Linked DNA regions of Schizosaccharomyces pombe. The gene in region 2 interacts genetically with the main gene of each other region. Each region holds a gene or a part of one and is shown on either strand. Other genes may lie near its edges. The genes, in order: hop1 and SPOM_SPBC15C4.06C.

Evidence for each region.
Region 1: mutations in SPOM_SPBC15C4.06C (region 2) and hop1 together harm fitness more than expected from each alone (negative genetic interaction), as found in Schizosaccharomyces pombe (2 studies listed by BioGRID).

What each region holds. Positions count from the first base shown.
Region 1 is NC_003423.3:3,464,403-3,476,558, reverse strand, and holds hop1 (synaptonemal complex-associated protein hop1), read right to left. Parts: upstream 4,241-12,156; coding exon 4,146-4,240; exon of another isoform or gene 4,098-4,145; coding exon 3,950-4,097; exon of another isoform or gene 3,906-3,949; coding exon 3,737-3,905; exon of another isoform or gene 3,699-3,736; coding exon 3,458-3,698; exon of another isoform or gene 3,418-3,457; coding exon 3,027-3,417; exon of another isoform or gene 2,980-3,026; coding exon 2,754-2,979; exon of another isoform or gene 2,707-2,753; coding exon 2,390-2,706; downstream 1-2,389. Other genes in the region: sct1 (glycerol-3-phosphate O-acyltransferase), read right to left, coding at 1-545, 598-643; DNA-directed RNA polymerase I complex subunit Ker1, read right to left, coding at 1,387-1,830; cullin 1 adaptor protein Pop1, read right to left, coding at 4,889-7,216; beta-glucosidase Psu2, read left to right, coding at 9,030-9,989; mpi1 (mannose-6-phosphate isomerase), read right to left, coding at 10,407-11,519, 11,569-11,694. UniProt on the Schizosaccharomyces pombe protein: Facilitates initiation of meiotic recombination and DNA double-strand break (DSB) formation at DSB hotspot sites by enhancing the interaction between rec10 and rec15.
Region 2 is NC_003423.3:2,244,421-2,262,675, forward strand, and holds SPOM_SPBC15C4.06C (ubiquitin-protein ligase E3), read right to left. Parts: upstream 9,291-18,255; 5' UTR 8,987-9,290; coding exon 7,316-8,986; 3' UTR 6,991-7,315; downstream 1-6,990. Other genes in the region: SPOM_SPBC15C4.04C (amino-acid permease), read right to left, coding at 1-39; dhx29 (ATP-dependent RNA/DNA helicase), read left to right, coding at 2,303-6,589; SAGA complex/transcription factor TFIID complex subunit Taf10, read left to right, coding at 10,782-11,429; SPOM_SPBC21H7.03C (multiple inositol polyphosphate phosphatase), read right to left, coding at 12,224-13,615; ATP-dependent RNA helicase Dbp7, read left to right, coding at 14,394-16,523; transcription factor TFIIIC subunit Sfc6, read left to right, coding at 17,794-18,255.

The DNA.
Region 1 (12,156 bases), 1.2 Mb from region 2:
CAGACGTCTACGGACTTCATTATAAACATATGTTTGATCAATCTCAGGAGCCACCTTGTAAGACGACCCTTCGGGAGAAAGCAAAACTCTCTCAGCATCTTCTCCACGAAACTCACGTTTAACATATAATAAGGTATCACTTTTAATGGATGCTATATGAGAACTTCCATAATTATTAGGAAGAAGGAGAGTATCACCGACTGAATGCTTTGTAAACAGAGTATCTTTTCCGTGAATAGCAGTCTTATCACCTTCAGCTACGACAAATATCTTTCCTTCTCCGCGAATAGCTAAATCTTGCGCCCTTTCGACAGGAATTGCACCAAAAGCTCTCGACATGAGGCCAATAAATCTTTGACGATAACTTTTAGCAGCAACCAAAATGGAAGTCCTCCTACCTACTTCTCTACGAAGTTGTAACATCAAAATCAAAGGATCTACGAATTGGTTCGCATGCGGCGCGGCCACTAAAATTAGAGGTCCCTTGCGAGGAACTCTAAAAGAGCCTCGCGTTTTAACTTCACGGAAAAAGAAATCGATTAAAACTGGGGTTCATTAATTAGCGTTCCGGTTGTAACTAAATGATAAGTAACTTACTTGATAAAATCCATAAGCACGTATCATAAATAAAGGTATGTTGCATTATAATTGAGTGAACGAACCCGTCTTCAGGGTTTCAAGTAAGATTAAACGATACTAGTAAAATAATCGTGAGTGTTTGGGAGGGGCCTCCTGGGTAATTCTAATAAGGTCTACGTAAAAAAGTAGGTCTCACTATATAGTACGCTGAAGTTGTATAAGGCAACGCGTTGTTTCATTAGATAGTTATAAGTCACTAAGATATACATGTTAATATCAATCGACATAAATCAGTATTAGTAGAAACATTAAAGATGTGATGTGAAAGAAATAGTATATTAGGATTCACAGAGTATTGATTTGAAAGATTGAGTTTAGTAATTGATCTCGCCATGATCTTTGTTAAATTGTTATTTAACAATTATTTGTGACAACAATTTCGACAATAAAGCCTATATTAAAAAAAAAATCAATTAAACTATGGGATAAACAAGAATTTAATGATGAATTTAAAATCTTTAAGCATAATCTGATACTTGCAACTGAGAATGAATGGATAAGGACTTACAAAATATGCAAACTCAAGTACTGCGAGTAAAAAAGTTGCATTGTAGTTGTCCTCAAACACATGATCAAAAAAAACCTTAGGATTTTTTCTCTCACGTTTAAAAGATTTAATAAATAATCGCAGCCAAAAAACCCAATTTTTTTAATGAAGCGCAAACTATATTCGAAAGCTCATATGATGTTTTAGAAATCGAACAAAATAACTGAACCACAAATAATCAACACACCTTTAAATTTACTCTAACTCTGTTCTTTTTCCCCTACACCTTGAGTCGTATCCGCTTTGGCCTTACGAGCCTCTTCCTTTTCCCGTCTCGCAGCCTTCTTTTTTTCCTTTTTTAGACGCTTTTTGGTTTCTTTATCCAAATGCAAATCATCGTTCTCTTCCCTTGCATGTTTCAGACTTTCCTCTTCCTTGGTTTCCAACATTTCTTCAGGTGGTATTATTAATTCCTCTGTGGGAGGGCCTTGGACAGGTAAATTTAAAGAAATAAGCGGTATCTCTTCTCCTTTCAGGTACATCAAGACTCTATTTAACTGGGATAGAACACTCTCACTTCCAGATTTTTCATCTTGGAAGCGCTCAATCGTTTGGATGTAGCGATTGAGAAATTTACTAGACGCGTCTTTGTCTAGCTTTTCAGACTTTCGCAAAATCATTTTAGGTGGACATTCTGTCGCCATGTTTAAAACGAAAATTCTCCTGAATAATGCAAAGTTCTCACGAACACAGCAATAATGTAACTTCAGTATCAAATGGAAAAGTTCAAGTCTAATGTGTAACGTTCTATACTTTTTTTTTTTGACATCAAATCACCACACTATTCACACATAATGCAATTCAAGAAGTGCTTAAATTAGCTACGCAATTTCGTATTCGTTTAGCGCTGCGTAGAACTGCGATAAAATTTACTTGTGATCTAGTTTATAGTGGTATGCATGATTCTTGTATGAAGTCTATATTCATATCTCATGTTCGTATAAGCTCATAACTGAACCTCATTCCTCATTTCAATTACCGCCTATTTATAATGTCGTAAGCATAGTTATCTACGACAAGAAAATGAGTTTGTATGAATATTGTCTCATATCTAACGGATGATAACAGAACATGTTATTTATGGTAATAATGTAGTATAGCTAATAATAAATATATTATGTAAGTTTAAATTAATAGTTTGAGCAAATAGATGCAATACTGATCCATCTCAAATTGTTTGAAGATAGGATAAGTCGTATAAGTTTAAATCCTCAGAGGTTTCATGGTGTCTGTCTCTTTAGTGTTTGAAGTCTTAGAAACCTTTTTTGGTCTTTCTATTACTTCCATTCTTTCGGGCCGTAGAAAAGATCGCATATTTACACGTTGATTCTCTTGACGATAATTTTGAAAATTCAGATGAGATATCCATCGCGACGGTGTAAAATACTTCTCACGAAGATATGACACCATTTCAGGGCTTTTATTCGTAAAATATATCCATTTTCGTTTTTTTTCCTTATAGATTATGTTTTCGTTAACTAATCTTTCTTCAATTCTTTTGGCATCAGCATAGCTGCAATCTTAGATAATGTTAGTATATGGTCAATGAGTTGGTAAATTTCCTTACTCAGTCGCGCCGCTAGCTTTTGGAACCCTTGATACTCTGACGCCCAAATACACCGAATTGCTCGTCTGTATGCGACCAACATGGTCATTCGGTCATACAAACTAGATTCAGAATCAACTAACAAACATGTATAACATAACAATTGGTTTGGTTGGCGAGGATCAGAGTCACTCTCAAATCCATAGCAAGCACAGTGAACCCATCCATCACATCTTTCGCATTGAAACTGTGTAAAATATTGTTAGTCTTTAGCAGGTATAAACGATTACACACCATTTCTGAGTCTTCCGTCGAATCACCGCATTCACAATTCAAAAGTGCTTTTTTCTTTTCGGCTTTGTCAACTTTGTCACTCCCTGAAATGTTTTTTTTTAACCAATTGCTTTTCTTTACTTCTTCACAAGGATTGTTATTTTTTATTTCCCTTAATCCACGACTTTCATTCTGCATTTTCTCACATTTTCCTTGACTCAAACTTTTTTCAACTGATTGTTCATCCAATATTTGAGTTGAGCCTATTTCATCGTATTTCAAAGGCTGGAGGAACTTTTCGAGCTGAGAATCAATTTTTTCTTGAGAATCAAATAATGATGATTCTTTATTAATCATGATCTTCTCTGTACTTATCGGTACAAATGCATGAGAACAATGTGAAATCGCAATACTATAGATTAGTAACTTGAAATTTGTTTTAATTTACTTACCCATTGTTTGATTCATAAAAAGATACAATATCTTTGAATTCTCCTCGATTGAGCCAAGACATGCAATCTTTTGTTTCTACGGTATTTAAAAACACGCCAGCTTTAGTTGCTTCTCCTTTTGATAATTGAAAGCGTTCCATTTTTGTAATAATTTGTACGACTTTTTCTTCGTCTTTGCACTCTGTTTTTACGTTACCACTTAAAAATAACTTTATTACAAACCTTTCTGAACGTTGATAAGCTTGATAAAACTCTCATGAAGTCTGTTAAAAAATTTACAAACAAAAGACTCACAACATATTTTCTCTTCACTTCCAGGGTTAATTGTAAATGAAAATATCTCCTTTTCAACCGCGTCATCCTCTAATATTGACTTGCATTGTGACGAAATAATCAGGTAAACAGTAAATGGAACTTTCATTGATACAAGTGAGAAAATATAAGTTTTCTAAAATATTAGTTTATTTCTTTAGATAAGTTTTAAACACTCACCATCATTTCCAAAAAACTGTCTGCTTCTTTGTCCACTCCAGCTTGTAAAGAAACCACAGTAGGTTTCAATTGACAATCAAAGTCAGCTCCTTTAAAATGTTCAATTTCGAAATTGACTTTCTTGTAGCAGTTTTCATTGAAAAGAGCACTTGCCTTCTGTTAGCTATTTTAATTTAAAAATTATATGTCTGCGTACCGCTTATAGCATAATGTTGATATCGCGAAGAAAATTAAATTTTTAAGAGTAAAGTCAGACTTAGTTTGCAGAATTTCCTCTTTGTATGAATTCATTTGTCATTTATACTTAGAAGTAAAGGGTATTTGATAAGTTGATATCTATATATGGTAATTTTGTGAACGCGTCGAACGCGTCTTAAGTGTACGTATATTACAGTCCCACCTGTGGTTTTCCAACACTTTAAACTACACTAAAATGGCTTACATAGATAAATGGAATGCGAAAAGCATGTTTTACGATGAAGACATTTGGTAGCTTATGAAGTAATGTAAAAGCCTTTTGTTAAATTAAATGTCTTTTTACATTTACAAAGCTAAAATGTTTGTTTTTTTATTTACTATAGTTTGCTAATTATAAAAATATAGTACGCTTTTGGGTAGAATGGACGCTATTTGAAGCTAAGGATTCAAGAAATTCGCTTATCCCTTTGGTAAAAAAATTTTGGCCTCAACAAACGAATTTAACACTAAATAATTTATAAATGTAGAATAGATCATTTAAAAAAATATTATTTTGCATTCTTATTAGATATTTAAAAAAGAAAATTATGAGTAAACATTTAAAAGTCAACAAACAATTAGACAAATATTATATGATAGAGGAGTTTCCAGAATAAATAGCATGAATCTATTTCAGTTTGGAAACGTAAAATAAAATTTCGAGATCTTTTATAGATTTCTAGTATCTCAACTTATAAAAGCTCAAGAAGATTTAGTAGATCCAAACTCTAGGACCTCGATCCAAAAACGGTTATTTCTTAAAACAGCAGCCACACATACATTTTCATTATAAGCAACTTGCCAGATTATATCCAAATCAGTCAATAGGTCTCTTACTAACTTTCCGGAACGAATGTCCCATAACTGTAGCGTACTATGGCTTCCACTGACAACTTTGCTCTCGTCGTGTTGAAAAAATATGTGTCCCAAAGGACATTTTAAAATATCTCGACAACTTCCGGTGTTTAGATCCCAAACTCTCAACGATGTATCAGGAGGAGCAGAAGCGGATACCAAGATATTTTGGTTAAATGTAACTTGACTTACCAAATTCGAATGACCATGAAGGGTCTGTAGAAGTTCTCCAGACTCAAGGTTCCAAATACGAATTTTAGCATCCGTACCAGCGCTGATACATTGTTGACGAGAAGGATTAATTGTGACACTGTATACTCTCCCGACGTGTCCCCGAAGAACATGTAAACAAACGCCAGTAGATGCCTTCCATACTCTAAGAGTACCATCATAACTGGCACTGACAATCAAATCTCCAAGACAAGCAACTTCACGTACCGAGTCCGTATGACCACGTAATGTTCGGATGTAAAACGGATTGGTCGTAGCTGAAGTAAAGTCATTATTCTGATCAGGATTTTCATTTACATTAACAAATGGTGGATCGTCAAGGCATGGAAGACTCCATAAACGGATCGTACAATCCCTTGAACTTGAAATTATATACGGAGGCATTGAATTAGCATCATTTGAAGCTGGTCTGTTTTCTTTTTCCACATCATCAGTATCAGTAGTACTTTGATTGCCTTGAACTATTTTGATACAACGGATTGTTGACGTGTGTCCATAAAACACCTGTTTACATTCACCGGTTCTAAGGTCCCAGACTCTTACTGTCCTGTCTGTGGAGCCAGTAACCAAAGTATCCCCAACGTATTCAAAAGTCCAAACATCACCTTCATGCTCTTCTAAACTGCGTATCAGGACACCTGTTTTCGTGTCATATATATTAATTCTAGGACTGCAGGTGCTAACAATTATTTTGTCATCATCAAACTGAAGTTTGGTAATAAGACGAACTCCATGAATTGGGAATGAACATCGCTTAATTTTCTCCGGGGCATGGAGCCATCTTTCACGAAGATTAAAATGTCTAAAATAGACCCGCTTCATTATCGCACAGGCTGACAAAGATTGTTCTAAACACATCGTACGGATTTTACTATCAATTGAATCCCAAAAGAAACCATCTTTTAAAAAGAGACTTTTCCAAAGTTCTTCGTTGGACGATACCAACTTATACCAGTGATGCGAAACTTGCGAAACTGCACACAATGAAGGTGCATCTAAATGCGTAAGCACTAAATTTGTAATCTCAGCCGGAAATCCAGTTAAAAAGTTCTTTTGAAAGATAGGAAGCAGAATTTTGTGAATATTTTGAACAGCATGTTTTCCACATCGAGAAAGAAGATGAAAAAGTAAGTATTGACGAACACTTTCGGGTAATTTTTCGAAGGAAGAAATTAATTGTGCTAATTTCAAAACAGCATTTTTTTGAGAGCTCAAATGATTAGAAGGATGAATGCTAGGATTTTCTGAAGAAAAATCATATATGACAGGTTCATGCAAAGAATTATGTGAAGATGAAGATGAATGAGGGGGAAAAGATTGACGGGTTTTGGAATCGTTGCCGAGTAAATTAGGAGAAAAATAAGAGTAATTAACAGAATTATTTGGTGCATCAAGTGAGAATGTTGTTTCACTAGCGACTTCCTTACTGTCACAGTTGTTTGGGTAGAAAACGTTCGAGTAGTTAGTAGAAGGAAAAGTTTCATTCTTTTTATTCCCATCACTTTGAGAATTGAAGAGAAACCGCTTATTAGCATGCAAATTAGAGCTGAGACTAGAGTTACGGCGTTTAAGGCACTTTTCGCGATGCTCTGACGGCAGCTCACAACTCAAATGGGGCCGGTTAAGATCACAATGTAGATATAAAAGATTTTGCAAGTTTTCCAAATTTTCTTTATCAGATAAACATCGATTGTTAGTAAATATCATCGATTGCTGACTTCCCTTGCTATCAAATTGTAGACTAACACGACTAAGCTCCTCGGGAATTCTGGTCATTATATTATTTCCTTCCAGGAGATCTTTTTTAGTGGAACATGGAGAAAATCTCTCGACATTTGGCCGGGGAGAAGAGGAAACATCAATACTCGGTGATACCATAGTTGTCTCACCGAAAAATTCATTGGAATCTAAAACAGATAGGCTATCTTTTTTCTTCTCATTCATTTCAAGTAGTTTACAGACACTTAGTAGAAAAGTATTTGTCAAGTTCTTTTATGATGTTAGAGAACCTGGTTCAAGAATCGATACTGATGAATTTACTTAAAACAACTGCCCGTTGGGAAACATGTATATGAAATTATTTTGCAAATAGTTATCGTCTTAATGCATTAGAGCAATACTTTTTCTTGGTTTTTTTGAAGTTCAGCGAGATAGATCGTAAAGACCATAAACTCTTGGCAATGAATTTTAAATTCACTCTACGCAAGCGGAGGTGTAAGTAACACCAGAATAAGTAACAATTTTACTGTTGATTAAGAAAAGTTTTTATAGTTTATGGTAAATACGACTAAATCGCGACATAACAATAGTTCAATAAGAAAAGTTATATGACTTAGTTATGGCTCCTCAATATTATTTTTTTTTACATTATTTGCGATAGTGTTTTAATTGTATACCAGATATTAACCTCCTCAGCATTTTCAAATAAATTCTCTAAAGACAAAAACAATGAACACGTGAAGTATTCATATTATAAAATTGTCTTTTCCGTTGCGTTTTTGCAGCTAAAGAATGCAGACACAATAGTAGCTCGCGAATTTCATTACACGCCAATAAAGTTGGGAAAGAGATTACCCTCCCCTGTCATATTCTAAATGACACGGACACATATAATAATTTATTAATAAAATTTGAGCATGAGCGTAAAATGTAAAATGTCAGACTAAGATGGCGTTTCTAGTACATCATTTTCTTAGGCCGTTGAAAGAAATTTTTTGTCTCGTCAATGACATGCATCGGGTAATTTCGGCAGGCATTGGGCTATTATTCGACTTCTCTCCATTCAAAATTTGACTTAATCTCAGTATCCAAAGAAGCGTCAAATACGCTACCAAGATAAATAATTAAATTGTTATCCGTAAAAGTTCTTAGCATAGCAAACCGATAAACCGAGTGTAAACACGATATTAATTAATTAATATTATATCATATTTAATGAGCTGCAGAACATCATTTGCCGAAATGCACCGAGCCTCTTATATCTAGGATGATTTGTATGTACCAGATTACTTTCCCAAGAGATTATTAAATATATTTAATAGTATTAGGAGAAAATCAATATAACGTTGAGTCGAGCCAACGTATTTGTAAGTTAGGTATACAGGGATGTCATTAGGCTTACGTACACCGCGCAATTCAATTGCAAAAGGCCCAGGGGACCAAGAACTTCCTTATGATAAGAAAGCTAAAGCGATAAACAAAAATTAAATTACTTGGCTTGGAAATAATAATAATTTGCTTTGAAATGAATGATTGAACGCCCCGCGACCCCGGGACAGTATAAATTTTCCTGGGGTAGATCAAATTCACGCATTTAATTGGTTGAATTTATCAACTGACTTTTAAGTTCATTTTTAATTAAGTTATCAGCCAATGAATACAAAGCCGATAGCAAGGCAAGCAATGATTGGAGCGCAATAGTTGACTGTTTTGGCGCTAATTATTTCGGGTTTATGGTTAGAAATTTTCTGAAAAAATCAACGTTGAAAACTTACAGGCTTTCATGGTTAATTAGTGGCAAAACGCCACGGCTCTTAATCAAAAGATGGTGAAGTGCTTGAAAAAAGAAATGTATATAAAGCTGAGCTGATTTTTAGGGAAAAGCCGTGAGCTGAAATTAAACAATCAGAACCGCAAAAGGTAAAGACCATTATATTCTTTACCATCTTTCTTTTATTTTCTAGTATCAAGTTACTAGCATATCCTATCGTTTATAAAGTCAATCGTTAGATTCCTGTCAAATCTTTTAAATCTAAAAATGCTCTTTAACAACTTTCTTTGTTTTGCGGTTTCCGCCATTCCTTTGGTTTCAGCTATGCCTCTTGGTAATGCTCCCTATCACCATCACCATCATGCCGGTTTGAATGCTAGCAATATAACTGTTGGTGTCAATGTCACAAACACTACCGCTTTTTCAAAAAGAGACGGTGGTTTTCCTGACGGCGTATACGACTGCTCCTCTTTTCCTGATGATCAAAATGGCGTTGTCCGCCTTGATTACTTAGGTTTTGGAGGATGGTCTGGTGTTCAGAAGAATGATGGTAAATACGGAACAGCTTCTACATGCCAAGATAACACATACTGTTCCTATGCATGCAAGCCCGGAATGTCTAAGACCCAATGGCCGTCTGAGCAGCCTGACAATGGCGTTTCCGTTGGTGGTTTGTATTGCAAGAACGGTAAATTATATCTCACCCAGAAGGATAATTCTAATCTTTGTGAAGATGGAAAGGGTACTGCCTATGTTAAAAATACATTGAGTTCCAATGTCGCAATTTGCCGTACCGATTACCCCGGAACTGAGAACATGAATATCCCTACCAATATTGATGGTGGTTCAAAACAACCTCTTTCTGATGTTGATGAAGATTCATACTATAATTGGGGAGGAAAGAAGACATCCGCTCAATACTATGTTAATAAATCTGGCAGAAGTGCAGAAGATGTCTGTGTTTGGGGTAATGAGGGCGATGATTATGGCAATTGGGCTCCTATGAACTTCGGGTCTGGTTACACTGACGGCAAGACTTGGCTTTCTATGTCTTTCAATCCTTTATCATCTGCTAAACTTGATTACAATATCCGTATTAAATCTGATGGTGGGTCCCTTAGTGGTGATTGCTACTATGAAGACGGATCATTCCATGGTTCCACCGCTGACAGCAGTGGTTGTACAGTCTCTGTCACCGGAGGCAATGCCTACTTTGAGTTGTACTAAATTGCGTGTTAAAAGTGGATGCTTGGTCAAAAAAATTTGTTTATTAGAATTATTTTTGCATTCGTTTTACTTTTGTCATTCCCATTTTTATGCTTTATTTCGTTGTTGATTAGTTTTCGCATTTTTTTTCTGGTTTCATTTTTTTTATTTTTTTCATTTTTTTCATTTTTCTTCTGGATTCATTTTTTATTTTATTTTTGGGGTTCATCTTCTTCATTTCATTTTTTTGTCTATATTTCTTCTCTACATTTTGTTACATTTCTTAAAAACGCTCATTATTTATGCATTGCATCTACGAAAAAATAAATTTGTTTTTACTTAATTTTGTCCATCCTATCCAGTATCGTTAAAAATTTAAAAATTCCATGTATTGTTTTATTATAATGGTGCTGATAGTAGTAAAAAGCTGCAGAGTAACTAAATCTCACAGAATGCCTGGTAAACGACAACAGGTTCTGAAGTCGCAGAGATCGTTAATGGAAAATTTGCGGAAATAAAATAAACAAATCCAGGAGATATCGATGCTACATCTCCTTTGTCTCCATTCAATATGCCTGAACCCTCAGTAACAAGTAAAATGCTAGGGCCATTGATTCCGCGTATGCATTGTTTTTGACCAGGAGAAACCTTGGTTTGCAAAATGCTAAACTCTTCGATCGGGGGATCATATAACAGAGTTTTGCCAGATCCACAAGCTTTGGCAAATGGTACAGGTTGGGTAAGTTGGGATTTGGCATCCGCAGTCTGATAAGTGAGATTATTTACGAGAGTTTCTATGTCCTTAAACTTTGGCGTAAAGCCAAGACGGATAACGTTATCACTGGCAGCCATGCACTCAATTATATTTCCAGAAACATAAGCATGTGGATCTAAGGCACGAAGAAAAACGGCTTCTCCTGGATGTAATCGAACGTAGTTAAGAAAAGGAGTAACAAATAATCCGATGTCATCCGGAAATTGACTATTGAGATGAATAATTAAATCGCTAAATGCTTTTCCGCCGTATTCCGTTCCACCAAAGTTGTTAGCATCACTTTTTGCTAGTTGAACAAGCTGAGGAGTAAATTCTTGAATCCTTTTTTCGTCTTTGTGCATTAACTCATTAAATAAAGTTTCCAATGCTTTTCTCTCGTCTTGCTTCACGGTACCTTTAAATTGACGAACAGCTTCTTCACCGACAAATTCACGCAAAGGAGCTATACTGTCAAGGAACTGTTCGATTTGCTTTACTGGTCGAAAACCACAAAGAGCGTCGAATTCTGTCAATGCAACTGCCATTTCTGGCTTATGATTATCGTCCTTGTACTCTTTCGGATTCGTTTTGTGAAGTTGTTTACCAAGGGGTTTGTCAGGATGAGCCTGAATAGACAGCACCTTATTTATCGATAAAACTTTGAATAAAAAGGGGAGTTGTTTCCCATATTTCTTGTACACTTTTTCTCCAACGGTTTCTGGAGTTAACAACTCACTCAACGGCTTACCAGTTTGCATAACAAAGGAAGGGCCAGAAGGATGAGAACCCATCCACAACTGTATAGAAAATTCAATTAGTATAGAATTAACCAAGCCTTTTGCATACCTCAGCGTATGGGGTATTAGGATCAACCTCGAAACCGTATCCAGCCTCAGCTAATTTCGCGGCTAAAGACTCGTGACCAACTTTTCCCCATCCATAACTTTTAACATCACATTTGAGACGATACATAATTAATTAAATTCAAGATTTCTTTATAAGCCTTTATTTGGCTGTGAGAACGAATTATACGATGAACGACGGCTTATAGCGTGGATACGTGCTACTAGATGAACCTTACCTTCAAAACTAAGGAAGCACATAATGCATATGGTTATAGCCAATACTATAGTTCATTATTTTTATTTTAGCGGTAATTTATGTATATTTTTAATCATAAATAGTGAATTTTATAGATTTATTGTGTATTACTTAAGTTGCTTACTATGCAGTTTGGTATCTATTTTACAATCATAAATTGCGGTGTGTTTACTGGTAATTTATAAAATCGCGGTATGCAATATGAATAGCAGTCCTATTAATATTAGTTTACGAAGTTTATAGCCAATCATTAATATAGCTTGCAAAATTTTTAACCCGATATCTCTAGGTATCTGTGTGAATAATACGGATAGTCTTTTACAATTATCAATA
Region 2 (18,255 bases):
TCCTTGTTCATTAACGCTTACGTTAGAAACCGAATCCATACTATAATTTATTTATCCACTTTAACGTTCAAATATGCTTATCAAAAATTCGACGTATTTTCCTTTTTCACCTTTTTTTACTAAAAAACCGAAAAACAAAACAAACAAACAAAAATGTAAAAAGTCAAAGTTTCTTCGCAAAAGAAGAGATTATATACGACTTTCAATTTCACCCTTTGGACGACTCCAAATTGATTTAAAGAAAAAGAAATTTGCTCTAAAAAGAAAAAATCTCTTCTGAAATAATCGCTATATCTCAAATTGACCTATATATGAGACTTTTTATTTCAAGGTGAAAATATTGGCGGAGACTGGCATGAGATTTTTCTATCTGTCGTTAAAGCAATTTTGGCTACCACGTGCGCGAATTATCAACAAATTTTTTATATACTCTTTTAGCAAGATTCTTTAGTTTGTTATCTGCTTCGTAGAATGCGTAGGCAAACACTTCAATTATTCATTGTTTTGGCAACACATTTGCATTAATGAAATACCTAACTAGTTATGCCAATTAGTCTGCTAAACCATTTTTTGTTTCTCTCGGGTACCAGATATTCGCTACAGATGCATAACTCGGACTCTATCTCTTTAAATTTTAACTTTTTAGACAACTTTGGCCTACGAAGAATCGTTCACGATTGTTGAAAAAAGTTGTTGGAAGTTAATATTACGTTGAGCATATTTGATTTGGAGGTGGAACAGAACAACTGGAATTTTTGAAAAACTAAGTATATAAAAATACATGTGATAGTGTGAAATTTTGTTTAAATAGGTTTGAAAAGTGTTTGGGCAGCATTGACAAGTTTGGTCCTTTAAAAGCTTTAAATTGAGTACAACCACAAACACTTCTTTGATAAAAAAAGAGAAGCCAAAAGCATCACATTTCGCTGAAGTGTCCTTTTCTATAGTTCGTTGGAAATGATTATCCTAATGGAACAATATGTATTAATTTGCAATTATTTTTATAATATTCGCTGGCATCATGAAGTAATATCAGTTTTGAAGGCGCTCCATGTAAATTTTATACCCAGCAAAAACCTTGAAGTCCAAATATTCATACATTAAGTATTTACGGAAGCTTTTCTATTACTATTCTTCAAAAAAATCTATACATTTTTGAAAGATCATCAAATATTTATGAATATATCTATGTATATTTCAAAGACTTTCAAATTACTCAATAAATTGTCAAAAGCCGCTTAAATAAGCTTAAATTTTAACGATCAAATGAGAACGCTGAAATTATTTAAAATAATATTATTATAATACATCTCAAATAAGCACTCTGGCAACAATCCCAATGTTCAATGGTACTAAAAATTTAAGCATGTATAAACAATAATTCAAGCTGTACTATCTAATTATGTTGTAATAGCTAAACATTGAGTTTACTCTAACACAGGAGTTTAGGGAAGCTAGTTTTACGGATTGTATTGCCCTAGAAAAAAGTACTAAATTTGAACAGTATAGGCGACTGAGTCGGGATTTTCATTTACCATTGGGAAATATTTTTTTGGAAAAAGCTTAACTAGTTTTGGAAAATAACAGGCGGTAAAAAATGCCATGTATATGTAGTCCTCGGAGGAATATGAAATCAAATTTTTAATAAATCGGTACTTCACTAACAACGTTAGAGAACCTGTTTAAATGTATTTGCTTTAATGCCGTTCTTTCATACTTTACCCATTCGTAACTTACATATAGCCTTTTTATGGATTGCAGCCCATAATTCAATTTTAATCTTGATTATTGGTTGTATAAGATACTTTAATAATTAATTTAATCTCTTTTTTTTATTTTTCTTTTCCCCAATACTTCGAAATTTAATTATATATTGAGTATATTGGTATCCAGTTATATATACACTTTCTCTCTACAACCCACAAGAGAATATTACAAAATATTGTACTCAGCGATTCCCTATTACTATTTATTCGTGGATATTATTTGTTGGACAGAAAAAAAAAAGCAAAAACCTGATAAATCAGCTTATTTCTAAACCATCTGATCGCTTTGTATTATATTTTTATTAAATGAAAATTTATCATTCCTTGTTTCTGGTTTAAAACTCTTTTCTTTTCAAGAGTAAATAATTTTCGATGTCCAATATAGTTTTATTTTAACTGTTATTATTATTACTTTTTTGGCTCATTGTTATTCTAACCTGTGAAGAATATTTTAACCACGAACTGTGAACATTTTCTATTAGACTCTGATTTTTTTGTTTTAAAGACCGATTTAAAAACCGTTTTTGTTCTAAATAATGGCTAAAAAAAAATCAAAAGCTTCGAACTCTGCTCGTGGGTATGCCACTACATCCATTCCATCTCGAAGTGCCTCCTCTCCGGCAAATAAAAATCAGGTTAAAGGAGAGAAAAATAATAAAACCCAAAAGGTTGAGCCCAAAAATGCTTTCAAAGTTGAGAATCAATCAAATGATATAGGGGTTGACACCGTTGATGCATTTGACCATCTCCTACTAGACAAAACGCTTCCAACTATTGATGCCGAAACTGAAGTCATAAAAAATACCTCTTTATCAAACTCAAAGTCATTTTTACATTCTTGGCAAACGGATATAAGACTTCGTAAAAATGACAACGTCCTTGGCTTGACCGAAGATGAAATTCAACAAATTTTGAAAACATTTCGGGACTCTTGGAAATCTTCTCTAAAAGAAAGTTATGCTTTCTCAAATCGATCCAGTTTTTCTCTGAGGAAACGGTATCTTTGGACTACATTTCTTTCACTTAAAGGTATGGGGTTTGAAGAATCAGAAATATTTGGCGCCTTCTCATCTATCCCTATAGTTTCGATAGATGAATATATCACTTGGATGATAACAGAGAATTTAATCAATTCTGAACCTTCTAATTCATCTTTTTCTTACGAAGTGCAACCTAGTAATTACACTACTTTTTGTAGGATGCTCGATGAACCGTTACCTGCCAATAATCCGGTTCAATCAAATAGTAGACTTGTCCCATTAATGAAGGATTTTTCTAACGATATAAAGCACACACCTAATAAAGAAACTCAGCCCTCTAATCAAGTCGATGATTCATTGAAATCTAAGGATTCAAAGCCACTCACAATGTCAGAGGTACTTACCCAATTGCCTGAAGATGACATTCCATTTGATGATCCTTTTGACTTGACTTCTCAATATGTTAAAGTTAAGCTGAAAATGTTACGACTACAAATTGCCAATAAAAAAAATTCAGAAGAATTTAGTACACTGAATTTGCAACTAGAAAGCATTACTAGCCAATATCTTTTTTCGTCTAAAGAGGCAGAAATTGTGTTTCGTAAAAGCAGAATCGAGTTTATGAACAAGTTAAAAGCTCTCCAACAAAAATTAGAAAACGAGAGAATTGTAGAAGAAATAAAAAAAAATGGCATCCAAGAAGATTCTCAAAGCACTGATGACTCCAGTAAAGATGATGATAATAATTCTGAAAGCAATGATATGTCACCACACAACGATGCAGAAACTAGAGCGGATGACGATGCTTACCTTATGGGAGATTTATTTAATCAAGAAGAAGAAGACATTCAGGATACTGAAAATGATTTACTTAATGCAAACTACACACTTCTTCCTTTAACTACCGATAAATCTGGAACACGTCCAAGTACTACGTTGCAATATGAGCTTCACAAAATCGGATCAAACATTAAAGCAGAGTTCAAAACTATGCCAATCGGCAAAATAGGATATCAGTCCACCTGTTTTGTTAGATGTTCTACCGGCCAGAAGACTTTTTCCGACCTGAAAACTGTTTTGCCTACTGCCACATTGGCTGCAGATTATATTTCAATGATAGTTTTATTTAGATTAATGGCCAATTTTACTAAAATTTCGTTACAAACGTTTCCAAAATCGTTTAAAGAGGTTTATGGAAAGTTTTCTGCAGAAAAACAAAACACTGACTTAGCAGAAGATGCAAAGATTTCCGAGAAGTTGGATTCCATTATAAAGAGCAAAGAATTGGAGACCCCAACAAGCGCTACCACTTCTAAACTCATGGCCCCTATGGATAATATTGGCAAGTTTTCTGGATTTGAAAGGCCACCTGAGACTTTACTAAACAAATGGCGACAACAACTTGAAAGTGAATCAGCCGAAAAATTTAAGGTTTTCCGTAATCAGTTGCCAGCTACGATGTTTAGAGAGACAATTATTGATGCTGTCAATAATAGTCAACTCTTAATTATATCAGGAGACACAGGTTGCGGTAAAAGTACGCAAATTCCTGCTTTTCTGTTGGAAAATTCTACAAAAAATGGAAAAGCAGTCAAAATTTATGTTACAGAACCTCGAAGGATCAGTGCCATATCGTTAGCTAATCGTGTTTCTCAGGAACTTGGCGGCAATCCTCCTTCAGCTCGTTCGCATGAGCTTGTTGGTTATTCTGTTCGTCTGGATTCCAAATGTACGCCTTTAACACCTTTAACTTATGTTACTACAGGTACATTTCTGCGTCTCCTAGAAGTTGGAAACGAAATAGAGTCTGTGACTCATCTGATTATTGATGAAGTTCATGAGCGCAGCATTGACTCGGATCTTCTTTTAATTCATGTACTTCATTTACTTAAACAACATCCTCATCTTAAGATTATAATTATGAGTGCAACTTTAAACGCCGAAAAGTTTCAGTTATACTTTGAAGGAAGTAATTTAATCACAATACCTGGTAAAACATATCCAGTGCATAGATTTTATTTAGAAGATATACTTTCCCAGTTTGGAAATGATAAGTCGTTCGGTAACGCTGCCGGACAGGATGTTATAGAGGAAGATGACTATGAAACCGACCAACAAGATGCGAGCATCTCAAACAAATCTGCGGAGGATGCCATTGTTGAAATGAACCTAATTCCAGCTTGGTATAACGAGAAAGCCATTAACTATGGTTTAATCGTTTATCTCTTAAAGTATATATTCACTGAAGGAGATCCGAAATTCAGTAAGTGTGTATTAGTATTCTTACCTGGTATTTCGGAGATCCTTCGTGTAAAATCTCTTATCGAAGATATGCCTATGTTTCGAAATCATCGTAAGTTCTGTATATACATGCTACACTCTACACTATCCTCTGCGCAGCAACAGTCCGTTTTTAACATCCCTCCCAAAGGGTGCCGCAAGATTGTATTGTCGACAAATATCGCTGAAACTGGTGTTACTATTCCAGATGTCACTTGTGTGATTGATACAGGAGTACATAGGGAAATGCGTTATAATAGTAGAAGACATCTTTCTCGGTTAACTGATACATTTGTATCTAAGGCCAATGCCAAGCAACGTAGTGGACGTGCTGGTCGTGTTCAGGAAGGTATCTGCTATCATTTGTTCTCAAAATTCAAACATGATACCCAATTTTTGTCTTACCAGACACCTGAAATTCTGAGACTTAATCTGCAAGAAGTTGTTTTGCGAGTAAAGATGTGCCAAATGGGTGATGTACAAGATGTCTTAGGCAAGGCGTTAGATCCACCTTCCTCTACCAATATTATTCGTGCTTTAGAAAAGCTTCATCAAGTGGGAGCGCTCTCTGAAAACGAAAAATTAACAAAACTCGGCAAATTTTTGTCGCAATTACCTGTTGATGCAAATTTAGGAAAAATCTTGGTTTTGGGATGCTTCTACAAATGTGTAGATGCCGCTTCTTCAATAGTAGCCATGTTAACAATCGGTTCACCTTTTAGGAAATCTGTTGACAATGAATTTTCTGCAAACAAAGCCCGATTATCATTCGCTAAGGAGAATACCAGGAGTGATTTAGTTTTGATGTATTATGCTTACTGCGCTTGGCGAGAGATTTGCCTTTCACCTTTAGGCCCTGATGAAGATTCTTTTGCCAAAGAAAAGTACTTAAATTTAGAGGCTTTAAGTATGACAGAATCACTAAAAATCCAACTGCTTTCTGAGTTGAAGGATATGAAACTTTTAGGCGCTTCGGATGTTGATACTTGCAAAAGCCTAAAACGTTCAATATGCCGGCGTTTTGCCGTTATCCCCAAAGAGCATGATATTAACTCAGGAAATGCAGAAATTCTGTGTGGCGTAATTGCTGCATCTCTGTATCCAAACATTTTAAGGTATGATTACGAAAAAAGACAGTGGTCAACCTTGAGTACCAACAAGCGTGTTAGAATTTTAGATGTATCGGTGAATAATAGGTCTGAGTTACCTAACATGCCGTCCAAATTCGTTGCTTACACGAACATGATGTCTTCCACTCGAGCTAGTGAGTATGTTAATGAAACTACTATGGTTACTCTTCGCCAGCTTCTAATGATGTGCGGCCTTAAAGTCGAAAATAGAGTATCAGTTGGACAAGCAAAGCTTGACAACTTTACAGTATATTTTGAAAATGTTTACGTTTCGGCATCTTTAAGTATTTTACGTCGCTTTATTGAAACTTCTCTAAACGAATTTTTTGCTGAACCTGATAAACGCTTATTGAATTCCCATCTTGAGGTTATTGTTAACATAGTTTCACGGTTAAATTACGGAACCAAATTTCAGAAACGTCTCAAAGATTAATGAAAGTATCAAAAATGAAATATCAGAAAGTTGGTTTTCACATATCTGCTTAATGACAGGCAAATTTTCTTTCCATTTGGAAAATGTAAGAATTATGTTGGTTGAGCATAAATGTGTAAAATGGAGTTATCTAAGGCTTCATTGCAGAAACTGATGGCTTTTCTATTTTATGAGACACAATTCAGAGTATTTAATTTTCTCAAATCCAAAAATGTCAATTATTATAACTGTATATCGTTTTCTTAGAATATCAAAATAGGTCTCTAAATGAAAAGAAAAAAATATTTACATATGCAATTTAGCATTAGACCGGCTAATTTGTAAAATACTTAATAGTTTTTTTGTACCTTCATCATAAACTAGCAAGCAACATGTGTATTAAACTTTTTATAGTAAACAATGACATGTATAGTAAGCTTTTATATAGTACTATAGAATTCATACGATAACACAAATAATAGATTAGAACGATGAGAAATAGATAATTAGCCCATTAAAAGATGCAAGAAAATTATGAACTTAAGGAAGCGTAAGTTTTCTTCGTCGTAGGAAGAACTGAACAATAAGTATGAGTATGCGTATGCGTATAAAGACAAGCAAAATATTATAACGTAAATGAATGAGAGTCGAACAAAATATGCTAATATAGATTATAAAAAAAATTATCCTTATGAGTAGAAGTACAGGAATTACTCAACCAATGGAGAAAATTCATAAATATGCAGTTTAAACATTGTCCTCGGAAGCATTTTCCAACATGTTTGTAACTGACTGTTTACATAGGGGACAAAGATCCGAATTTTTTAATAAATAAGGATCAATGCAAGCCGGATGAAAGATGTGATGGCATGGCAGTTCTCGATAAAGAGGACTTTCTTCTGAATACTCACACAAGCAAATAGTACACTCCCTCTGATCGAAATACTTACTCCCTCTTTCGGCTGTAGTAACCACATTTCCCTGTCCATCAAAACTTTCTGATTTGTCTAATTTCCAATCCTTTTCATAAACCAACTCATCATTAGGATTGGCAAGATGAGGCCCCGAAAACATTCTAACGGGCAAAGTATCGAGCATTTCTTTAGTAACACGATTTTCTGGTTTGTTTGGTCCAATATTCACAATTCTTTCTTGAACAGGAATTCCATGACGATTTAAGAGTCTATAAAATCCATTCATTGCACCAGAAAAGTGAAGGCAAATAAAAAGGCCTATGACACCGATTAAACCCAATAACACACCAATGAATATATAGAGGCCAAGTAGCTTTGGTTCCTTGCTGATGATAACGCCCAAACGGGCCGTAGCATCAATGTTTCCAAAATATTCGACTAATGCTCCACCATCCTGCACCGAATTTAAAGAAGAAGCCGAGTATTCGTTGAGAATCTTTTCAAAAGCGATGCCGTTTTCGTAAGATATGAGTGCCATTGGTAATGTTTCAAAGGTAATCATATCTACAGCATCTTCAAAGTGGTCAAAATTGGTTAATGAATTACTAGCAGTGCTTGCATTATAAAATAGTATTGCCTTTGCTCTATCCTGGACAGCCTGCAATACATGCATTGGAGCACAATAGTCAAACGGCGCGAATGCGATTAAGCCAGAACTTCCCATATTAGAAACATCTCTAAACCATACGCTTCCCTTGGTATCAACTTGAAGTGACTCGGTGTCATTGCAGCTACCATAAGGAGTAGTTTTATATATAATTCCACGAAAATTATTCTTCAGTTTAGACAAGCTTTTGTAATACTCATTCAAAAGGACCGTGTTGTCAGAGTGGAAGTAAAATGAGACATTTTTTGGAAGATTTGAAACAACATTCTTGTTGTTTTTAACAATAAGAGTAGTTATGGTTAGCGGAAAGAACTGATTGTATTCGACAGCATTCATAATAATAGATGAATTTCCGTAATATGAAAGACCAGAGCTAACATAATTAGATATTGCAGTATTTGGAGCATTGCTGGAATAAGCAGGGTAATAATCATCATACAAGGAGATTGAACCAGAAGTAGAGGACGACCTTGCAGAACTAGTACTAGAATCTGAATAAGATTTGGGATTTGATTCACTGGAAACAGAATCCGAGTCTGATTCACTAGAACTGGACATAGAATCTGATTCATCATGACTAGATCTTGAAGAAGAAGTGTGTTCACTAGCATGCCCACTAGTATGGCCTCTTCTTAATGATCTAAATGAATAAGAGATTGGAGTTGGCGAGATACTTTCGTCCTTTGGCATTCGATATCGCCTTCTTTCATTCCATAGTTTACGAATTGCATTAAACAGCCGCTTTCTCCTCTTTACCTTATTCTCTTGTGAAACATAGCCTCTGTAAACTGCATTGCAATCCAGATGATCAAGCAACTGGTTATTACACAGATGCATAAGAACCTAAACAAACTTTAAGGCACGAAGAAACACAAAGAACTAGGAAACAGGAGGTTTCAAGATTACCAAAAAACAAACCTGCTTTGATACCAATCTTTCTAAATAATGAATCAAATTTAATGGTAATTGAAAGGTAAGCTTTCAATCAATAAACAGACGTTGAGTGGTGATATCTCTAAAGCAGGAATTGTGGAACACAATTAATGAAATTTTTTAAAGGAAATTTCAAAAAATTAGAAAGTAAAAAGTGTGATTCTTTTAACTTATACTAGCTCAAGCTTGAAAACCACAAATTGGTGGTGGCTAAGTAATGAACATCTTGAGACATATTGCGTACATAGTACACAATACATGTGATATACATGTGGAAAGCAATTGTTATTATATTTTCACTATGAGCAGTATACTTCAGTGAAGAAGTTTTTTAATGAAGGAAAAACTATGAAACAAACAAAGCATAAAGTGCAGGGCGAGAAAAACAATCGTGAAATAAAACAGCTTATTTGTGTTTGGTGATTCGACAAGCGCTTTAAACAGGTGTGAGAAACTAAATAATAATAAATGGTAATTATAAGAAATAAAAAAACGAAGAAGTGATACTTCAAAAAGGTAAGCATAGCTGGAGAATTAATGATCAGAGAGAACTATAATAAATAAATAAAAAAAGGATCGCTTAGCGATCAATTAAACAATAAGATATCCTCCTTAAACATAAGAAGCAATTTACTAGGAATACGTTATAGGATTTAATGTTGTTTGAGTATACTTTGTAAACTAGTATAAGGATATAATTATTGTGATATGCTACCTCGTAATTTAGTATAATTTTATGGAGTTCGTTTAGTACAGCGGTTACATATTTGTTTAAGAAGGCTAAGATATAATATACTATATAATTTTATATTTTACTGTATTAACTTACAACTGAACTAGGAAAGGGTAGTTTGTTCGGTTGAGATATTTCTTCAATAATTGTATTTTCCTAAAGATGTTTTACTCGTCCTGATCATTAAAGATCAGTAGTATGGATCCGACAGTTTTGAAATGAAAATAACAATAATTAGTAGTGATATCTAATGTAGCTTTGATCTGGCTTAGCAATACATTATTGGTAAAGTATGGGGAAATGGATTATGTAGTTTGTTATGAGAAATAAAAAATGTGCACCAAATTAATCTCAAATATCCTTTCTTTGCGTAGTAAATTTTTTTATTTGTTTTAAACACATATTAACTGGAAGTCATGTTTGCGCAAACTTTAAAATGCTCATCTCAGCAAATGAATAACATTGTAGTTTGAGAATAATAATTACTTTTGAATACATATGTTCAAGTCCAAGAAGGCTGCCATTCAACTCTAAACTGAACATTTGCTTATAGAAGCAAAAATTGTAGTAGATACCAACTTCGCTCCGAACTCTATATAATACCGATTTTAAACAACACTTTTTACCAGAAGTTAATTAATCTTATATATTAATTTCTATTATTCAACTAGCATTATTCCAAGAATTGGAATTATTTACTTTTCGATCTTAGCCCTTATATACGTAAATAACAATGCTACTTTACCACGAATACAGAATATAGTCCACCTCCACCATCCCTATTTTAGTTGGCCTAGTGGTTTCTTGAAACACTGGATTAAAGTATTAAAAGTTAAGTCCATAAGCTAGGGAAATAAATTTCCTATTATTTCCAATAAGTCGAACGATAAATCAAGGAACCACGGATTTGAATCAAGTTGCAGAAAGACATTCTTTGCTTTACAACATCGGTCAAATAAAGAAAGAATGAGTGACATTAACAATAATGAGCCAGCTGAAAATATTGAACAGCCCAAGCAAGAACCAGAAGATGGAAATAATTCGATGAGTGTTGATGAACAACCCGAAACGTCTTCCACAAATCTGCCAACTGGTGACAATCTCGCCCCAATGAGTGTAGAATCCCCTGCACATTTAAATAACGAGGATTCTCCCAAAAGCGATGATTCTAGAGAAAGGCATGGCTCGAATTATGTTATAGAACCGCATTTAGAATTGCGAGATATGGCCAAAGACAAAACACTTGAAAATTTCTTGGCCCAAATGGATGATTACTCTCCCTTAATTCCAGATGTGTTATTGGATTATTACCTCAGTTTATCTGGATTTAAATGTGTTGACCCACGCTTAAAAAAGCTTCTTGGTCTTACAGCTCAAAAATTTATTTCTGATGTTGCTCAAGACGCCTATCAATATTCTAAAATCCGAACCGGTAGTAGCAATGCATCTTCAACTACGTTTGGTGCGCAGAATTTTGGAGCCGGAGGCGCTTCCGGGATTGGATCTAGCGGAAGAAGAGGTGACCGTGGAAAAACCGTGCTCACTGTAGATGACTTAAGTGCCGCTCTTAATGAATATGGAATTAATTTGAAAAGGCCCGATTTCTTCCGTTAAAGACTTTTTATCCCACTAAGGCCACTTGTGTGAGACCCTTACTTAATGCATTAGTGGAACTTTGTTTCTGAAATCTCATTTTCCTATAAAATTTTTGTTTACTAATTGTTGTTAATTCTAACCTTTTACACTTTTTTGAAATTATTATGTATTTTGAAGATAGCACATTCGGTTTGGCGTGGCATTGTTGATGATCATAATTTCAAAACATTTTCTCATATCGATCCATTTCAGCAGTAGTTTTCATATGAGGGATTATTTATCTTTATATTTTATAAAATTTATCATATGTATCATAGTTACTATTTTCTCGCTATCACTTGCTGAATTTGTTTTACACTGATACTCTCATTCAACATTGATGTAGTAAATGTTTTCTTCGTTATGCTACTATCTGCATTTTGAAAAGCACTTCTGAAAGTGTCAATTACGCGGTCGACAGCTGCCTCATAGTATGTCAGAACCTAACATGCTTCTAATTATAATATGCATTGTATATAAAGTAAAAATTAATATAATTACAGTTACCAGTACTCTTTCAAATAATGTAATGCTTGAAACCTTAAACAAATACAGACTTCTCAAGAAAAATCACTGCCTTCATCTGGCAAAGGAAGATTATCAGTTCCTACAAGCAAACATCTTGTTTTGATTGTAGGAAGGAAAGTACTTGGTATTCCTCTTTTAATTAAGTCTAATATTACCCAAAATTAAATAAATTGATTATAATAAATTATAGTTTATCCTATTCAAAGGATCCATTCTGTTTATTTAAACATTATAGCGCTGATAGTTCAAAAGTAAATGGTAACGTTGGTAGGACGCGCTTGACATTCTGTGTTGAAAATGGAAATACCATTAGAGGTAGAATTTGCCCGAATCGGTGAATTCAAATAAGCCTGTAACTCGCAAAGTCCATCAGAAGTTCCACTAGGTCCATACCCACAATCGATAAGGGGATAAACTTGCTGGTTGACGAGATGCCGTACATAATATTTGCTGTCAGAACAAAAGAACAACTCAGTAATTAAATTTCCAGCGAAGGGAACGAATGAAGAAGTTTTCTGGGAGTATGTATAAATGTTTTTATCAGTCGGCAAAGGATTTTGCGGAGTAATGTCAGGAAAGAATCCCAAAGCAGCTTCCACAGGAATGATATTAGAATCATGAGTAAATGCTAAAAATACTTTACGATCGAAGTCGGGATTAGTCACATTACGAAGTGAGTCTGCAAGATTATTTATATAGGCCCCACCTAAGGTTGAAGCCCATTCGGAAACAGGACCACCTCCATATGCCTGATCGAGATCTGAGTCATATTCAAAGTTCAAAAATTCTGATGGGGTAAATATGGAACAAAAATCACTGTGATCTTTTATAGCAATTTCATATTCGCAGATATAAAAGAGACTACGAACGTCATTGATCGTAAGTTTATAACTGCTGTCAAAATATTTAGCCAAACGATTCACAATGGGCTCAATAAAAATATTGCGCCATACAGCATGGGCAGCATCAGTTGCATTTTTATGAAAGTTATTATCTTTAAACACGGGACATGCGTTGTACATGGATAAGGAGTTGGCACCTGCTGCCTTACCTTCAGAAATAAGGATAAAATTGGTTTTTTCGTACATTTTATCACCAAATAATCCATAAGTAAACCATTTTGCAGATTCAACAACACGTTCCTGTTCAGCCGTATTTATGTCGTAAACGTATGAATCAAAAAGTTTATAGTAACGCTGGTATAGCTGACGACCCAAGTCGAAAAGTTCGAGACGACCACGGCTGGAAAGTTGATCGGCATTTTCTGCATCTATTACAGGAGTCCACTGCTTAATAAAACATAAGGGATTCTCGGGGTAGCTGAAGTTTACGGGTATTGAGCCGTTTAAAAGCTTTTCCTGAAAATTATTTAAATATTGTGAACTATATACATCAGTGGCAGTTACATCGCCCGTTGGGTTTCTGGAACCGTGACGTTGAAGAAGATGAACTTGTTGGATCTCACAGGTTTCAGGGAAAGCAGAATCAAGACCATCAAAGTAGGGCTCATGATAAGGACTTAATGTTCCGAGATGTTCCTTGAAGAAAAAATTGCTTTCATAATCCTCAAACTGAACATTATCGGCATTGACGATGAACGCAGCTAAGAACCAGAGAGAAATGATACACAACTGCATCACGAAAATATATCAGCCAAACGAGTAAAAGGCCTTCTTAATTATTCGATTAGTAAAGCAGAGCTTTTGAGGAAGAAAAATTAAAGGATCAAAGTAAGAAATTGATTAAAACGAGTGACAGTCCATTCAACCAACAAACTGCTGGTCAATTGAGGTTAGGAGCGACTTTGAAGGATTAATTGAAAGGTAACCATTAAAAGATACAACGTAATGGTCCTATACGTGTAATTCGTGTATCTGCCAACAAAAGCTGGTAGCTTCCACTAAATTGAAATCTGCTGCCGATGCCGTTCCAGTGAAAACGTAAAACATCATGGCAGACGCGAACTGTTAATGTACGTTACAGTCAATACGGATACAAATAACGAGTTTCGACTAAACATTTTAACACGTATAAGAATTTCGATGTTAAAGTTATTTATAGATGTGCATGAGCGCGGTATTTCCTCCTGAAGCATATTATCTTATAAAGAAACATATATATTGCGCTTATTGTTATTCTTATACGCAAAGTATCTATTAATATTTTTAAATACAAATTAGGTCAATAAAGTCCGACTGAAGGAGTAATTTATGTTTTTAACAGTGCTTCTCTAGGTTTAATATTACTTAAATCACCTATAGCTGTAAAAAGGTAATAAATGACCTTTTGGAAGAATACTTGAATGCGTCTCAAGTATTTAACGCGGTCTAGTATAGCATAGCGTAATGGAGTACAATTAACTAAACTAAGCACGGTGGAAGCACAAGTTTTCAAATTTTCATCAACTGTAAGCAAATGGCGGACGAACCATTGCTTCTCAATTTTGTTGTTGATAATGCTCAATCAAGAAAGCCTGAAGCCTTGAAGTCTAGTCGTCGCTGGACTGATCGCGCTAGAGATAGAAAAAGGCAAAAACGCAATTCTAATGAATCATCAAAATCAACCGTTAAAAGAAATTCAGGCACAAATGGTGCTTCCACTGATTATAAAAATTCACAAAAGGAAAAAGTAATAAATCCTGTGTTTGATCCTAGAAAACCAGCTCATGAGCTAAAAGGCAACAAGCGCGATAATACTTTTGTTACATCTTTGTTTACGGGTGATGATTCTGAGCATTTTTCACAGGACGTTGGTCAAAATCTTGAGGATAATCAAATTAGTAATATTGGGACTACAAAGGAGGCATCCAACGCACCTATTAAAACTACCAACTTTGCTGGTGTTCAATTAGATACTCAACTGGCTGATCATTTAAATAATAAAATGAACATTAGCGCTCCCACTGCTATCCAAAGCTGTTGTCTTCCAGCATTGCTAAACACAGATGATAAGGATGCGTTCATTGAAGCACAAACCGGATCGGGTAAAACTTTGGCTTATTTACTACCAATTGTGCAACGATTGATTCGACTTCCTAAAAACTTACACACCCGTACTAGCGGTATATATGCTGTGATTATGGCTCCAACCCGGGAGTTATGCCAACAAATTTATAACGTTGCTAACAAGCTCAACAATAATCCGTTATCACACTGGATTGTCTCCTGTAATGTGATAGGTGGTGAGAAGAAAAAAAGTGAAAAGGCTCGCATACGAAAGGGTGTTAATATTTTAATTGGAACGCCTGGTCGTTTGGCGGATCATTTAGAAAATACGGAAGCACTGGATGTTAGTCAAGTACGATGGGTCGTTTTGGATGAAGGTGATAGGTTGATGGATATGGGGTTTGAAGAAACTTTGACTAAAATTTTATCTTATTTGGAATCACAAAGCAGTATTATTAAGAAGGATCTCAGTATTCCTTCTCGTAAGGTTACAATGCTTTGCTCCGCTACAATGAAAGATACCGTAAAGCGTTTAAGTGATTCCGCTTTAAAAGATGCTTTGTACTTAAAATCATCTATTGTGGAGGAAACCAATGACGGTTATAGCCAGGCACCCGAGCAGCTTCTTCAAAGATATGTTGTTGTTCCTCCAAAACTGAGGCTTGTAAGCTTGGTTGCCCTATTGCGAAGTCATGTTAGATCATATAAGAAAATAATAATTTTTCTTTCTTGTTCAGATAGTGTTGATTTTCACTTTGAAGCTTTTAGATGTGCGATAAACGCTGATGAAATGGAAGAGGCCGTGAAAGAGAAACCGGACTCTGAGGGTGATATCATTTCAAATGCTCCAGCTCTGAGAATAGATGGCAAATCAAATGTATACCGATTACACGGTTCCTTGTCTCAACAAATCAGGACTTCGACGCTGAATCTTTTTTCTTCAAGTGAAGATTCTGGTTCACATATACTTTTGTGTACAGATGTGGCAGCCCGTGGTCTTGATCTGCCAAATGTTGATTTGGTTGTGCAGTATGATGCTCCGTTTAGTACCGACGATTATTTGCATAGAATTGGCAGAACAGCTAGGGCTGGACACAATGGTGCAGCTATTATGTTTTTACTCCCGAAGGAAAGTGAATATATTAATTTGTTAAAGTCTTCAGTTAGCGCTAATATATTGGAGCAGCCTAATGGTCCATCTGGGTTGTTGAGTGCTGGTTTTTCGCAAGGTAAAACAAACACCAATGATTGGCAAGATCGTGCAACAGAATGGCAGTTGGAATTGGAGCGTTTTATATTAGAAAATGAACCTATGAGGAATATTGCAAAAAGGGCTTTTACTTCTTATGTGAGGGCTTATGCAACACATCTTTCATCAGAAAGAAGTATTTTTAACATGCGTGACCTTCATTTGGGACATATTGCTAAGTCCTTCGCTTTGCGAGAAGCGCCGGGCAAAATATCTGGTGCAAATTCTTCAAAGCCAAGAAAGCAGGGTGGTTCGGTTGATAAAGGTAAAAGTAAATCATCGAAAGACATTGCTGCTTTGATGCACAGAAAAGCAATGGAACATTATTCAACGGAACACAATATAGGATAAACATTATTTGTGTAAAATTTAAGGTTCAAACGGTTTTTGGTTGGCATTTGTATATATTTATATAATTTAATTTCGATCTTTTAAACGCAATAACAATCTTTCGAAGATAAAATCTCTTGCAAGTGATTATGGAGAAGTTAAGTTATCATTTCTAAACAAGTATTGAGAGGAATTATGAATGGCGTGCCATGGTAATGCTTGGCAATTGTATCTGCTATACAGGTTATGTATAACAGCTGAGATATATCAAACACCACATAATATTACTATTGCTGCTTATGTAGTAGTCTTGCACCATTGCGTTATGTGATAACTCAATTTCAAGGACTCACTATCCCTTATCCAAATAATATTTGTAATGTCAGTTGTGGAGCTACTATTTTAAATTATTAAAAGATTCAAGACAAAAAATAAAAAAGTTAGGAATAGCCTACAGCACCCCGGATTCCCATGTTGTCTCCAACCATAGTACTAACGAGGCCCTCAGACGCTTAACTGCAGTGATCGGACGGGAACTGGTGTTTTCGCCTAGGTATGGCCGTAGACGTTTGTACCTAACGATAATTCTTTTTAAAATTAAACAAACAATTAGAAAATAATGAAATCCAAGCATCAAAATTTAAAGATTTGATCAAGAAAAAACTGCTATAGGAGGTTCCTAATATTAAGTTTGAACTACTGATTAAATTATTTAATAGTAGCATCACATACTATTCCCTATAATCCTTTAATAGTGTCAGAATAATGCTCTCAGCAAACCCGTAGTAATTGAAAGAAATTTGTTGCATATTTACCAGTGAAATTGAGCTAACATTTCACATAACGTTTAGTAGATTCAATATAACTATATATATATTTTTTTCGATTACCGAAATACTTCCTTTGACAAAATCGTGTTAACAGAACTAAAAATGAGGAGAGATAGGCTGGTAAAAAGAGCAATCGAATTTCATTGAATGTGTTAAATACTTAAAATAAATTTAACTATTTGCAAAATTTATTCTTTATGAAGTTTCTGCATGGACTCGTATTAACCAACAAATGTTTGAAGTTAAGTCTAAGTTTCACACTCACAATTAAAGCAGGATTGAGCTGAACCAAGACGAACAGCAACAAATTAAGAATTGGGATTTTTTAACAAATTAATTTTTTCAAAGTGGAATAATTATTTGAAATAAATATTTTCTTTGAGCACTTGCAAACGAGGTTTTGATTAGGTCAATATTGCTTTGATGAAGTTCACCACCATTCCTAATGAATATTGACGCGTATGGGCCCTAAATCTAAGGAATACGAAAATCCAAGCTCTTATAAAAACGATGAAGATAATGATGATGACGGCGATTTTGTTTTAGAGAACGTTATGTCTGAAGAAGACATAGAAATAGAAACACCGTCAAGAAACCGAAAAAGGGTAAGTACTACTCGTCGAACCCCCTCAAAACCTATTAGAAGTCAACCTTTAACACCTTCATCTTCCAAAGGCGCTGGGAATGAACCGAAGAGTCAGAATTCTAGTACTACTCGTGGAAGTGCTAAAAAGCAAAGTTCAAAAGGTTTAGAAGAGAAGTTAATAAATTCTTACGGGACTCACGTTGAATCTTTAAATAAAGGAAGGAGGCTAATCGAAATTTGGAAATATTATGAGACTGCTCCTGGTCAATCTTCCTTTGAAGGTCAGACGTCGTCTGATTCCAAGTTGCAAACACTTCTGAATCTCGACGGACAGCAG